Linked DNA regions of Anolis sagrei. The protein of the gene in region 2 purifies or fractionates together with the protein of the main gene of each other region. This does not show direct contact. Links are inferred from orthologs where the notes say so. Each region holds a gene or a part of one and is shown on either strand. Other genes may lie near its edges.

What was found. The genes of interacting proteins can lie anywhere in the genome.
Region 1: the proteins of ARAF (region 2) and HSP90AB1 purify together in Homo sapiens (affinity purification with mass spectrometry; 5 studies listed by BioGRID and IntAct, with this or other methods). This does not show direct contact. The link is inferred for Anolis sagrei from reciprocal best matches to the Homo sapiens genes ARAF and HSP90AB1.

The regions. Positions count from the first base shown.
Region 1 is NC_090021.1:48,271,598-48,279,450, forward strand, and holds the start of HSP90AB1 (heat shock protein HSP 90-beta), read right to left. Parts: upstream 3,023-7,853; 5' UTR 2,920-3,022; intron 1-2,919. UniProt on the Homo sapiens protein: Molecular chaperone that promotes the maturation, structural maintenance and proper regulation of specific target proteins involved for instance in cell cycle control and signal transduction. Undergoes a functional cycle linked to its ATPase activity.
Region 2 is NC_090022.1:192,681,228-192,688,196, reverse strand, and holds the start of ARAF (serine/threonine-protein kinase A-Raf), read right to left. Parts: upstream 3,007-6,969; 5' UTR 2,943-3,006; intron 1-2,942. UniProt on the Homo sapiens protein: Involved in the transduction of mitogenic signals from the cell membrane to the nucleus. May also regulate the TOR signaling cascade. Phosphorylates PFKFB2.

The sequences.
Region 1 (7,853 bases), on a different chromosome or scaffold from region 2:
TACATCAGCCCTCCACATTTGAGGGCTTAATTAATATGGCTTCTGTAGGAAACACAAGGTCCTCCAGTGCAACTGTGGACCGACCAGTTGTTGTTCTGGAGGAACTAGAGATTTCTAAACAGAACATGTCTCTAGAGAGATCTCTGTCCTCCCACACAACTCTATTACCAGTTTCCAGTGGATGTTGACTATATAGAACTAAAAGACAGATGCCTAGAACTGTTCTCTTGGCATTTTATAAAAAGTGTTTTTTTTTTTCATTTTGTGGGGGTCCTATGCTCATAATGCCAGAAAATATGGAGGGTTGATTATATTGCTAAGCTGATACAATGTAGATCGAGTTCAGGTGGTGAGATCTTGGCAGTCTTGTTCTTGAGTCCTTATTTGGAAAGAGGTGGGATCAAAACTAAAATGAAGTAAAGAAAATTGTTGGGATTTCTCTGAATTGAAACTTTTTTGTTTCAACCTGTCAGTATCAGATTTTCACTTTTCCCTTCTTCCAATGTAGGGTTTATGGCTTTTTCTAAAATATGCATTCGCCCCATTGAATAAACCTATTTTGAGTTGCATCCCATAGACTCTTTAAGGTTTGTAGTTTGGAGAGGTATGGCATTAGTTTTCAAACTTTTGGCCCTCCAATTGGTTAAAAAAAATTTCTTTTTGCATATTTGCATGTATATAATGAGGAATCTCAAAGATAGGACCCAACCCTAAACATGAAACTCATTTGTTTTTCATATGTACCTTTATATGCAGTTTAATTTTACACAGTATTTGAAAAATAATTTTGTGCATGAAACAAAGTTTATATGCATAAACTGAAGGCAGTTTCATACACAATATTTTAAAAATAAATTTGTGCATGAAAGGAGGTTTGTGTACACTGAACCAACAGAAAACAGAAATGTCACTACCTCAGCCACACATTTCAGTACCACCAACAGAAAAAAGCACCCATGAGTCTAAGGCACAAGCCATTATTAAAAGATGTTTATGAGGGGAAAACTGCATCATAGAATTGAATAAATGTGTGTGTGTGTGTAAATAGATGTCTGAAACTCCAGGTTTTCTCAAGTTTACCATTTGTAATGCTATTTTCTCTTCTATGTTATGCACAAGTGTGTGTGTGTGTGTGTGCATATTCTTTTTTTAAGTATAGTTTTAGTAAAGATCTTTAATTTTTACATGTATGTGTGTATCTACAAAAACCTGTGCATGTATACACATTGTAGATGCGAGGAATCCCTCCCCTGTAGTCTCAAATAGAAAAGGTTTGTGAATGTACACCTTTTCTACTGGAAACTAAAGCACGCATGAGCAAACTTCGTCCCTCCAGGTGTTTTGAACTACCAAGTCCCACAATTCTTAACAGCCAGTTTGCCCAAGCTAGGAATTCCTCATGTCCACAATTAGTAACAATTAGTAGTAAAACTATTTTCTCTTCTTTTTTAACTATATACATTTGTATGCATATCTATCTATCCATCAATAACTGCATATGTATGTATGTGTGTGTGTGTGTGTGTGAGAGAGAGAGAGAGAGAGAGAGACAGAGAAACTTTATTTTTGAAACCCAAAGCTAGGAATTCATCATGTGTGTGACGAGCAATATTTTCTCTTTGGCTACGTATGCATCTCTTACATATATGTGCGTGCACACAATTGTGGCAGTACTTTCGTTTAGGTTCTCTCTCTCCTATGAGCTATATCTGTATATATGCATGTGGGTAGGCACGCACTCTCTCTCCCTCTACATATATATATATGTACACACATGTGCTCTATTTCTGTGGGTAGGCACGTGCTTTTGCTTTCACTCTCCACATATACATATATTAGCCACCCCCTGCCATGCGTTGCTGTGGCCCAGTCTGTGTATATGTGTTTTGTGTATGTGTATATATGTGTGTTTGCATATGTATATATATGGTTTTGCACATGTATTGTAATGTATTTTTTATTTTTACTTTTTAAGTCTCTTCTGCTGTGTTTTTCAGTGTATTTATGAGTGACGGTCACTTGTTGGCCTGATATGTGTATTGTGTCCAAATTTGGTGTCAATTCGTCCAGTGGCTTTTGAGTTATGTTAATCCCACAAACGAACATTACATTTTTATTTATATAGATCCTAGCCGTCCCCTGCCACACGTTGCTATGGCCCATTCTGTATATATATGCTTTGTGTGTATATATATTTGTGTATATGTGTGTGTGTTTGCGTCTATATATATGTTTTTGCTCATATGCTGTAATGTATTTTTTAATATTTTTTTTTGGCTTTTGAAGTCCCTTCCGTTGTGTTTTTCAGTGTTTTTATGAGTGATGGTCACTCGTTGGCCTGATACGTGTATTGTGTCCAAATTTGGTGTCAATTCGTCCAGTGGTTTTCGAGTTCTGTTAATTCCACAAACGAACATTACATTATTATTTATATGGAAGATAGATGCGTACACACATGTGCGCCATGTATCTCTGCTTGCCTATTCCACAAAGAGGCGCGTTGTCGCAATCCAGGCCTGGCAGCAGGGAGGAGGCGGCCATGCCCACGCGTTTCCCTCCCTCCCTTTCCACGCGAGGGAGCTCCCTCGCTCCCCCCTCCCCAATCCGCCATTGTCGCAAAGGCCTCCCTCGCCTCCTTTCCCTGCCTTGTTGTATTCTGGGGGCGACCTGCTTGCTTTCCGTCTTTCTCTAAGCCTTTCTTTCCCTCTTTGCTTTCCTTCCCTGAGGGCGGCTCAGGAGGTGAGGCACGGCGAGGCCGAGGCCTAGCTCCAAAGGCTCCCTCAGGGACGGATTCCTTTCTTCTGAGGGCGCCTCCTGACCGGGAGCGGGACTCATTTTTCCCCCTCCCTCCACTCTCAGAGCCGGGGGCGATTCCACTCCGCTCCTCCATCTTCCTCCGAGGGGGAGAAAAGGACCGACCTTGATGGCGGGCGGGCAGACGGGCGGGAGGCGAGCCTTGAGCGCGGGGCGGCCTTCGGAGCAAGAGAGCCGGGAGAGGAGGCGGGAGCGCGCGGGCCCCCCTTTTATATCCGCCCGGCCCGGCCTCGCGCCGCTCGCCCCTCGGCTCCTTCCGCCTTAAAGGGGCCGCATCCCTTTGGAGGAGGGGAAAGAGTGCCTCTGTACACTGTGGAATGGAGCACTTTTATAGAGCACGGAACTATGGCAGCTGAAGCGGGGTCGACCAGGCCTGGCCAAACTTGGGCCCTCCAGGTGTTTTGGACTCCAACTCCCACCATTCCTAACTGCCTCAGGCCCCTTCCTTTTCCCCTTCAGCCACTAAACAGATGTTGACCATTTCCACTACCTTGGCAGCCACCTCTCCACCAAAGTCAACATCGACACCGAAATACAACACCGCCTGAGCTCCGCGAGTGCAGCATTTTCCCGAATGAAGCAGAGAGTGTTTGAGGACCGAGACATCCGTAGGGATACCAAGGTGCTTGTCTACAAAGCTATTGTCCTCCCAACCCTGCTATATGCCTGTGAAACATGGACTGTCTACAGACGTCACATGCAACTCCTGGAACGATTCCATTAGCGCTGCCTCCGGAAAATCCTGCAAATCTCCTGGGAAGACAAGCGGACAAACGCCAGCGTGCTGGAAGAAGCAAAGACCACCAGCATTGAAGCGATGGTCCTCCAACAGCAACTCCGCTGGGCCAGCCATGTTGTCCAGATGCCTGACTACCTTCTCCCAAAGCAGTTGCTCGACTCTGAACTTAAGAACGGAAAACGGAATGTTGGTGGACAGGAAAAGAGATTTAAAGATGGCCTCAAAGCCAACCTTAAAATCTCTGGCATAGACACTGAGAACTGGGAAGCCCTGGCCCTTGAGCGCTCCAGCTGGAGGTCAGCTGTGACCAGCAGTGCTGTAGAATTCGAGGAGGCATGAGTGGAGGGCGAAAGAGAGAAACGTGCCAGGAGGAAGGCGCATCAAGCCAACCCCGACTGGGACCGCCTTCCACCTGGAAACCAATGCCCTCACTGTGGGAGAAGATGCGGATCAAGAATAGGGCTCCACAGCCACCTACGAACCCACAAGGAAACGCATAATGGAAGACCATCTTACTCGTCCAACGAGGGATCGCCTAAGAAGAATACTAAACAGATCATAAAGCATTGTCCATAGAAATTCTGAAGACTATTTTGTGCAGAAATGGAAGGTAGCAGTCAGGTACATAATATGGCCTGCACTATATACCAGCCTGAGGAATGCAAGGCTGGGATGAAATTGCTGGAAGAAACATTAACATCCTTAGATATGCAGATGATACCACTTTGATGGCCGAAAGTGAGGGGGTGCAGAGGAGCCTTCTAATCAAGGTGAAAGAAGAAAGCGCAAAAGCTGGGTTGCAGTTAAACATCAAAAAAACCAAGATTGTGGCAACAAGAATGATTGACAACTGGGAAATAGAGGGAGAAAACGTGGAGGCCGTGACAGACTTTGTATTTCTAGGTGCAAAGATTACTGCAGATGCAGACTGCGGCCAGGAAATCAGAAGACGCTTACTTCTTGGGAGGAGAGCAATGTCCAATCTCGATACAATAGTGAAGAGTATAGACATCACACTGGCAACAAAGATCCACATAGTTAAAGCAATGGTATTCCCCATAGTCACCTATGGATGTGAGAGCGGGACCATAGAGAAGGCTAAGTGAAGGAAGAAAATTAACTTGAAATGTTGCAGTCTCGTGTAATATTGAGTGTTGCTTCTGTAAAGGATTGTTCCCTTGTTCCCCGTAGTAACCTATAGATGTGAGGGCTGGACCATAAGGAAGGCTGAGTGAAGGAAGACAGGTGCTTTTGAACTGTGGTGTTGGAGGAAAATTCTGAGAGTGTCTTGGACTGCGAGAAGATCCAACCAGTCCATACTCCAGGAAATAAAGCCCGACTGCTCATTGGAGGGAAGGATATTAGAGGCAAAGATTAAGTATTTTGGCCATATCATGAGAAGACAGGAAAGCTTGGAGAAGACAATGATGCTGGGGAAAATGGAAGGAAAAAGGGCAGACCAAGGGCAAGATGGATGGATGGCATCGTTCCATCCATCTGAGGACAGGGAGTCTGGCGTGGGCTGGCCCATGAGGTTACAAAGTCAGCTGCGACTGAGCGAATAAACAACAATTGAGTGTTGGGGGGGGGGGGGGAAACCAAATGCCACTATTGTGTGTTGTTTTGATGTATTTTAAACAATTTTATTGTTTTTAAAATAGTTCTAAATTTAATTCTATTTTCATGTGTTGTCAAAGGCTTTCATGGCCAAAATCACTGGGTTGCTTTGAGTTCTCTAGACTGTATGGTCATGTTCCAAAAGCATTCTTTCCTGATGTTTCTCCCACATCTATGGCAGGCATCCTCAGAGGTTGTGAGATCTGTTGGAAACTAGGCAAGTGGGGTTTTATATATCTGTGAAATGTCCAGGATGGGAGAAAGAACTCTTGTCCACTTGAGGCAAGTGATTAGCATTGAATGCCCTTGCAGTTTCAAAGGCTGGCTGCTTCCTGCCTGGAGGAATCCTTTGTTTTAATGTTGAAAACTCACAGCAACCCAGAGGTTTATACTCTCAGTCAGGTATTGCTTTTACCTGATTTAATGTTACATTGTATTATAATGCTTTTACCATTGTTCATTACTTTGAGTCTCTTGACTCAAATCAGAAGATAAGCAAATATAGTAATAGTAAATTGGCATTGTCGGTTGTTTACACCATTTACACATTTCCAATACCATACTCTTATTATATTGTCAAAGGCTTTAATGGCCAGAATCACTAGGTTGCTGTGTGTTTTCCAGGCTGTATAGCCATGTTCCAGAAGCATTCTCTCCTGATGTTTCTCTCGCATCTATGGCAGGCACCCTCAGACATTGCGAGGTCTGTTGGAAATTAGGAAAACCATTTTCCTAGTTTCCAACAGACCTCACAACCTCTGCGGATGCAAAGGACGCAAAACAATGGCTTCAAACTGCAAGAAAGAAGATTCCATCTGAACATTAGGAAGAGCTTCCTGTGAGAGCTATTCAGAAGTGGAACTCTCTGCCCTGGAGTGTGATGGGGACTCTTTCTTTGGAGGCTTTTAAACAGGCTGTCTGGCCATCTGTCAGGGGTGCTTTGAATGAGATTTTTCTGCTTCTTGGAAGGGGGTTGGACTGGACGGCCCACGAGGTCCCTTCCGACTCTATGATTCTAAGTAGTTTGTTTTCTGCAGTCTTTGTTTTCTTCTCCAGTTTGACTTTTGGAGAACTGTGCTTGGAGAAAGAGGTGATGGCCCTCTCTGCTGATGCTTTCCTCTGCAATGGTGCTGCTTCTCTTGTGGGGCCCACCAAGACCTTTCCCATTTAAAGGGAAGAGCCATGGGCGGCCCTTCCTGGCGGTGACTCATAACCTCGCCTCTTTTTCGCCCATCTTTTAATAACCACATTATCGTCAATGGAGACCAGGAAATAACGCGAGCGCTAATTATTATTATTCTCTGAAGGCGCAGGGCTTTCAAAAAGGAGAAAAGAAGCAATTCTTTCTTAAACCACAGCATCTTGGCTCGGAAGCTCTGCTTGCTCTTTCCTCAGGAGGGCTGAACATGCTTTCTAGACACGCTCTGACGCAGGCTTGCTCCTATTGTAGGCCTCTGCTCTTCTGCGCATGCGCCTGATCACACAATTATTTCCCCCCTCCTTCCTTGAGAGCTTTCGTTTCTCTCCAGCTCCATCTTACAACGTGCTCTCCGCGCGCATGCGCATTTCCCCTCACGCAAATGGGGCGGAGCGAAGAGCACCTGTTTCTGATTGGAGCGCAACGGCGAGGCGAAGGGGATTCTTTCCTATGATATAGACGGCGGAGGGAGACGGCTGCTTGTGCTGCGACTTCTTTCTAGCATTTTCCAGAGGGCGCTTTGTCCCCCTCCTTCTCTGACGCCTTTCGGGTTCCTCTCGTTCTAGGAGGTCCCTGAGAGGGAGGGGGAGAGAGAGAGAGGGGGGGGGGGAAGGGCACACTCTCTCAGCCTCAGGGGTAGGCCCCGCCAAAGCGCTGCTGGATCAATCTGGCCAGGAAAGCCATCAGAGAAGGCTTCCATAGGCCCAAAACGGCATGAAGGCCCACAGCCAGGCCTCTAAGGGCGGAACGGGGTTTACACCCTGGACATTCATAGAAGAGACCTCATGGGCCATCCAGTCCAACCCACTGCCAAGAAGCAGGAATATTGCATTCAAAGCACCCCTGACAGATGGCCATCCAGCCTCTGTTTAAAAGCTTCCAAGGAAGGAGCCTCCACCACACTCCGGGGCAGAGAGTTCCACTGCTGAACGGCTCTCACAGTCAGGAAGTTCTTCCTCATGTTCAGATGGAATCTCCTTTCTTATAGTTTGAAGCCATTGAAGTAGGTTCCACGTCCTAGTCTCCAGGGAAGCAGAAAACAAGCTTGCTCCCTCCTCCCTGTGACGTCTTCTTACATATTTATACATGGCTATCATATCTCCTCTCATCCTTCTTCAGGCTAAACATGCCCAGCTCCTTTAGCCGCTCCTCATAGGGCTTGTTCTCCAGACCCTTGATAATTTTAGTCGCCCTCCTCTGGACACATTTCAGCTTGTCAATATCTCTCTTGAATTGTGGTGCCCAGAATTGGACACAATATTCCAGATGTGGTCTAACCAAAGCGGAATAGAGGGGTAGCATGACTTCCCTAGATCTAGACACTATGCTCCTATTGATGCAGGCCAAAACCCCATTGGCTTTTTCTGTCGCCACATCACATTGGCTCATGTTTAACGTGCTGTCCACGAGGACTCCAAGATCTTTTTCACACGTACTACACTCGAGCCAGGCGTCCGCCGTTCTGTATGCTTACATTTCGTTTTT
Region 2 (6,969 bases):
TTGTTTTAAAGTGTTTTTTGCACTACAAATAAGATATGTGCAGTGTGCATAGGAATTCATTTATTTTTCCAAATTATAATCTGGCCCTCCAACAGTTTGAGGGACTGTGACCTGGCCCCCTGTTTAAAAAGTTTGAGGACCCCTGGGTTAAACCCTTGTGTTGTTGAACTGCTGACCTGAAGGTTGCCAGTTCAAATCCGCAATTCGGGGTGAGCTCCCTTCTGTCAGCTCCAGTTCCTGCTAACCTAGCAGTTCGAAAACATGCAAATGTGAGAATTGGCAGGAAAAGTCAAAGAGATGCTTCAAAAAAATTTCCTTGTCTTGAAAATAGAGAAAGCACCTCCTCAGTGCCAGAGATAAGCAGTGGCTCCAGAAGCCGGAAATGAAAGAAGCCTCTGCCTGTTTGTGTGTCTCACTGTATATGACTGTAAAGGCATTGAATGTTTGCCTATATATGCTGTAATCTGCTCTGAGTTCCCTAGGGTGGAATATAAATTAAGTATATTTAAAAATGTATTACAGCTCCTGTGATTCCACAGCACTTTTTTTTTTGTGTCAGGAGCGACTTGAGAAACTGCAAGTTGCTTCTGGTGTGAGAGAATTGGTCGTCTGCAAGGACATTGCCCAGGGGACACCAGATTGTTTTGATGTTTTGTCATCCTTTGTGGGAAGCCGGAGCTGACAGAGGGAGCTCATCTGCGCTCTTCCCGGATTTAAACCTGCAACCTGTCGGTCTTCAGTCCTGCCGGCACAAGGGTTTAACCCATTGCGCCACCGGGGACTCCATTCCATAGCACTGAGCCAACGCAGTTCAAGTGGTGCCAAACTGCATGAATTCTACAGTGTAGACGGAGCCAATGAGGACTTATGGGTGCCTAAATGAAATAAGTGCTGGCCTCTATCAGGGAGAGCATTCCACATTTGGGGTGCCACGACTCAGAAGACCCCATCCCATATCTGAACACTGCATATTAATCTTATTTATGGGACACTGAGAAGCTATTTGGGACTTTACAAGTCATCGCGACCACTTTGAATCCAGATTGGAAATTTGTATTTTGGCAGCCAGTGCTATTTGTTTAAGATTGGCATGACGTGCTGTCGATATGGCCTTCTAGTCAGCAATCAAGTTCCTACACTCTGCAGTTTCTGAGTGTACTTCAAGGGCAGCCCCACACAGAGCCCATTGCAGTAGTCTGCTCAAATATTATTCATTTTTATTGTAAACGGCCTTGTAATCCCATGATATAAGGCAAAGGTAAAGGTTTTCCCCTGACATTAAGTCCAGTCGTGTCTGTCTCAGGGGGTTGGTGCTCATCTCTATTTCTAATCTGAAAAGCCGACGTTGTCCTTAGACACCTCCAAGGTCATGTGGCCGGCATGACTGTATAGCGCGCCATTACCTTCTCACGGGAGCAGTACCTATTGATTTAGTCACACTTGCATGTTTTCGAACTGCTCAGTTGGCAGAAGCTGGAGCTGACAGGTGGGAGCCCACCCCACTCCTTGGATTCGAACCTGCGACCTTTCAATCTGCAAGTTCAACAGCTCAGTGATTTAACCCACTGCGCCACTGGGGGGCTCCTTGATCTAAGGTACACTGTAAATATTTATTTATTATTTATTTATTGAAGCATTTTATTATTTACTAGCCGCCCCCTGCCACGTACTGCTGTGGCCCACTCTGTGTATATGTGTTGTGTGTGTGTGTATGTGTATATATATTTGTGTAGATGTGTGTTTGCGTATATATATATATGTTGTTATGCACATGCATTGTATTGTATATTTTGTTTTTTGGCTGTGTTTTTCAATGTTTTTATGAGTGATGGTCACTTGTTGGCCTCAAATGTGTATTGTGTCCAAATTTGGTGTCAAATCATCCAGTGGTTTTTGAGTTATGTTAATCCTATGAATGAAGATTACAATTTTATTTATATAGTGTATCTTGATATAAGGTAATAGCATTCATCAATTAATAAATAAGACACAAATAAATGTATCTATAGAGTGACTAAGAATGATCAACAGAGACTGATCTAAAGACATAAGGATGCTTCTTCAGGTGTAAAATTAATGCAGTTTGATCCCACTTTAACTGCCACACCCCCATGCTATGGAATCCTGGGATTTGTAGCTTGTGAAGGCCCCAGAGCTCTTTAACAGGGAGACCTTGTAAAACTACAATGCCCAGGATGCCATTGCCTTGAGCCTGGGCAGTTCAAGTGATATCAAACTGCATTAATTCTACGTGTGACCAAAGCAGCCCCCTATCATCCTTCACTATAGGACAAGTTGGCTGGGGCTGATGGGAACTGCAGTCCGGCAATCCCTGAGCATCTACACTACAGATTTAACGCAGTTTGGCCTCCCTTGGAACTATCAGGACTGGGTGATGCAGAACACTGGGAGTTGTAGTTTGACAGAGAAGTGTCCAATATTGCAATAAAACTATAACTCCCACTGCATTCAGCAGTGAAAGCGGTGTCACACTGGATTCATTCTACAGTGTAGATGCAACCTTCCAGGGAGATGAAGCCCAATACAGCTGGAGAGACAAAGGTTGGGGATGATGGGAGGTGCAGTCTATGCCTTTGCCTGGGGATAGGGGTCTCAATTCGGGAAGGAGGAGGAGGAAGAGGAGGAGAAGTCCACGCCTCTCCCCTCCTGCAACTTAAACCAGAGCCGCGGGCGAAATCCGGGCCAGTCTGACCGCATTCCCAGTCCGGAATGACGTCTGGAAGCGACTCTAAACGCCCCCCCCCCCCTTTAAAAAGAAGGTGTGGGTTCCCAAGCCCGAAAAGCGCATTGAAGTGGCTGAGGAGCCGGGCAGGAAGATACCAAGAGAGCAGGAAAATAGGGGGGTCAGTCCGGGAAGGGGAGGAGGGGCCGAACGAGACCATCGGAATGTGGGAAAAGCCAAGGAAAGGGAGACTTCCTACCTCTCGCCCAGAGACAGCCACCATCTTGTGCGAGCGTTCGAAAGGGGGCGGGGCGCCGGGCGTTGACGTCACAATAAGGGGGCGGGGCGCTTTTAGGGGAGAGGAAGGGATTAACCCTTTAATTCCCAAACACAATTATTCAGCTCTCATTTACAAAGAATCAACTGGACATTCAAATGGAGTCCCTTTCAGCTCAATGTTGGGGCCACGAAAAAAATTGGCAACAGTCAAAGGTTTCTGAACGCCACCCATTTACACAGATCTGTTAGCAACAACCTGGAATGCATGCAGTTTTGCAAAAAACTTTAAGCTCCACTTCACTTGCAAATATATTATGGTTACTGCAATCCCTGGTGTCCACTTTTGGGGATTGGATTGGAATGCCTATATTGAGTTTTTCCAGTCTGCAATCCATTATTTTCCTTTCCCTATTTGCTGATAGATTTTAGTCAGGACTAGATTAGATCTCTCCCTGTATCAGTTGCCAAACAAATATGTAAACATCCTGCGGCTCCTCCATGATACATGATGGCAACAGTCTTGGGCAGCAATGGCTCCCAAAGTGACCCATTTAAGGTGGAATTGATGCAGAGCATCTACCCCCCCCCCCAAGTATTTGTAGTTCGCCAAGGGCCGGACAATGGATTCTGCTGCTTCCTGACCCAGCACACATAACTGGGTTCCTGTTTCCCTTCTGTGAATTCTCTGGCTTGTGCACTGGACCCTGGCCCCTGATCAGGGAAATGTAGTTCTCCAAAGGACATTGCCCCACTCTCCACCATTTGCGGATTCCTTGCGGACCTTTCTGCCCTCACTGATTGACTTGATGCCCTATCATCATGAACTTCCTCCACGGACTCAAAAGCCAAGCCGCTTGGGAAGCATGGCCCCCGCCCGTGGGTGCATGCCCTTGTTGCAAAGGATCATACCTCAGGAACTCTGCTGATTGCCTTTATTAATTGCTGTGGGTTTTCTAATAAACTTTACTGGGATGGGGATCTTTTCTATGAAATCTATGAGTTATGAAAGACTGTGAAGAATATATATATGAAGTATATGATATGTAATGAGATGAAATGAAATGAGATGTACCCTCACCCCTTTCCTTGCCTTCCCCCTCTTGAACTTTACCCTATAAAAGAATATGTGACCTGGGGATTACAGTTAAGGAAATCCAATTTCCTTGGAAGAAACTCCATCCATATTGACAATGCATGGACAAATACTGGCAAATCTATGGCTTTGTTCTCAGAGTCAGACAAACAAAAGCCAGAGATTTTGTCAGCCAAAAGCCCGGAAAAACCGACTGATTAAATCAATCATGGTGTTTGTGTATGCTCCCTTGTGTCAAAGGATCTCCTTTGCCTACAGGGTTGAGATCCAGACACCATCCATAGCCACCCTTTTTGCTCATACACATCTTTTATCAAGACCCAGGAAATCCCTTGTTCTCCCCATCCGCCTCCCTGCCGTGAAGAGACAAAAGGTGTTCCATCAGCTGGCAGACGCCTCCCAGGCGTTCCGCCCCTCTGCGCTATCAGACTGAAAGCCCGCCTCCTGGCCGCTGATTGGACAATCTCCGGAGGCGCTCCGAGGGCTCTGATTGGCCCTCTGGAGGCGACAGCGGCCGGCGATTGGAGGGAAGGCGGGACCAGCGGCCAAGCCTCCTCCCAGCTGTTCCGGAGCCGGCCAACCAGGACAGAGGGGACTGACAGGAGGCGGGCGGGAGATTCAAACCAGGATTTCTTTGTTCTGCCTGTATAAATATGCCTGAAATTCACTGTACTGTATGCCTTATGGAGGATTCATCCCTGTAACGCATCCTTTTCAGCTGAATCGCAAAATAAACGCCTCGGTCGTAGACTCCTCTTCAGCCTCTGGCGAGATTGATCTTCAGTAACTTTGCGTCTTCTTGAATTGGCATCCGCTGGCCGCTCGCCAAGGTCAAAGACCCCCTTTGCGGTCTTCTGGGGCCTTCCTCGCTGGGAAAGCCCCCCAAAAGGAGCTCGATATCATTTGGCTTTACCACGAAGGGACTGCTGCTTGAGGTTCCAGACTAAATTATAGCCTAAATTCTCAAGCAGGCGCCTTGGTCTGATTCTTTGGGCCAGCAGCAAAGGAGGAACGGCTTGGGAAAAGAGGCGCCTCTCCCAATTCGGACTTTCATTTGACCAGCTAACCAAAACTACAAATTCTCCCGCAGCCACTTCCTCCCAAGCTCTGACCTAGGGTTTCAGCACAAAGGAGCGCCAGGGAAGCCTTGATCTAAGGACTTCCAGGAAGAGGAACGACCGACGCGGAAAGGGGGGAAGAAAACGTCCGGACGGGTAAGAAATCAACCGCGGGCTGCCTTGGCTGCCAGGTGGGAGGGGATTCTAGGTTTTCTGAACCAGCTTCGGAGTCGGCCCACTGGGGAGGGATTCTCTAGGTCTCGGTAACAAATTCCTGGCGGGGGGTAGCGAACATCCACGTTTGAGGCCTGGAATAGCAACTCAGCTCGCTTTTGCGGACTTGGCTGGAGCTACGCTGGAAAGGGAGCCCTCCCCTTTCGGACTGCCTAGCTGCCAAGGGCTGATCGCCCCGGGCTCTTCTGCTAGGGAACCGTTCGGGCTCTAGCCTGCCTTGCGGTTGGGGGGGCTACCCTGATTAACCACTTCAGTGTGGGGCTACCAGGAGAGATTGGGCGCATGTTATTCCAGGGTCAAACGTCCTGCTTCATCAGAAACATCTTTTGGAAGATACTGGCGGAATGGGGCAGGGTTGCGTCGCCGACGCAGGCCAGTAGGGTAAAAATCGCATGGAGAGGTGGCCCTCCAGGCCCTCAGCAGGTGGAGTTTCGTGGCCCCTCATGGCAGTCGGATCGCTGTGAGGGGGCCAAGAGGACCGAAACCGCCTCTGCCTCATGCTTTTTGCCATGTGCCGGAGGGAGGTGGAAGGGGGGGGGGTAGTTGTGGCCAACTCCTACCATGCAAGGGGAAGGTAACAAAGCCCCAACCCCCCCAGGAAACCCCCTCCAGACCCCTTCACCCTCTCCCTTTGGAAGAAATTGCTTGTTCCCCTACCATCCCATTCCCATTTCCCTTTACCCAATCTCCCTGACTCCTTCCTTCCCTTCCCAACCCCTCCATTTCCCTATTCCCTATTTATGATGCATTTATATGCCCCTCTGTTTGTTTGTTTTTTTTTTCTTCACTGCTCCTTGAGGAAATGATCAGGGAAATTCTTTGCTCTCCTCCTCTCCTGCTTCCTCCTGTGCCACCTTTTTTCCTTCCTTCAGATGGAAAAGGGAGGCATCGCTCATTCCCTCCTTCACCAAGCTACTACATCCCTTTCTTTCAAAAGCTGAATCTTCAGTGCCTGTTTATTTATAATAAACAGTGTTTCCCCTCACCAGGAGAGACCCTGCCACTGATGTGACTCAGCTGCCTTGCAAAAGTCTCTCTCTCTCGCCTGGTTTCCCTGAACCAAGAGCTCTCTCCCTCTCCCCTTCTCTTCTGTGCAACTACAAAACCCATCTTTCAGGGGCAGTCACCAATGTCCCTGCCTTTCCTTTGTTTTTCCCTTCACTCTCCAACTCCCCCTTTTTGCTTTCAAACCCCTCCTCCCTCTCTCCTCTTGCAAACAAAGGGAGGTGTAGGGGGGGGGGGACCTTTTTCCTGCTCCTGTTTCCCTTTGCCAAGTAAAGTTTGCTGGGTTTCTCTCTCTCTCTCTCTCTCTTCTCCCTCCCCTCCCATCTTCTAAGAAGCCAGCATTCTGTGAATTTTTTTTTCCTCTATCCCCCAGAGAAATCCTGCTGCTCCCTCTTACCTCCTTCTCCAAAAACCTAAGGAAGGGATGTTCCAGAAGCATTCCCTCCTGACATTTCACCCACATCTATGGTTAAGTCTCTCTCTCTCACACACGCAGTCCCTCGGATGCTTTTTTCCTTCCTGGCCCTTCCTCCCTCCCCTTTCCCTGAGCGCATGTATGTGTATGTCTAAATTATCCCATTAACTGCCTTAAATATGAGGGGGGGCGTCGAGGTCCA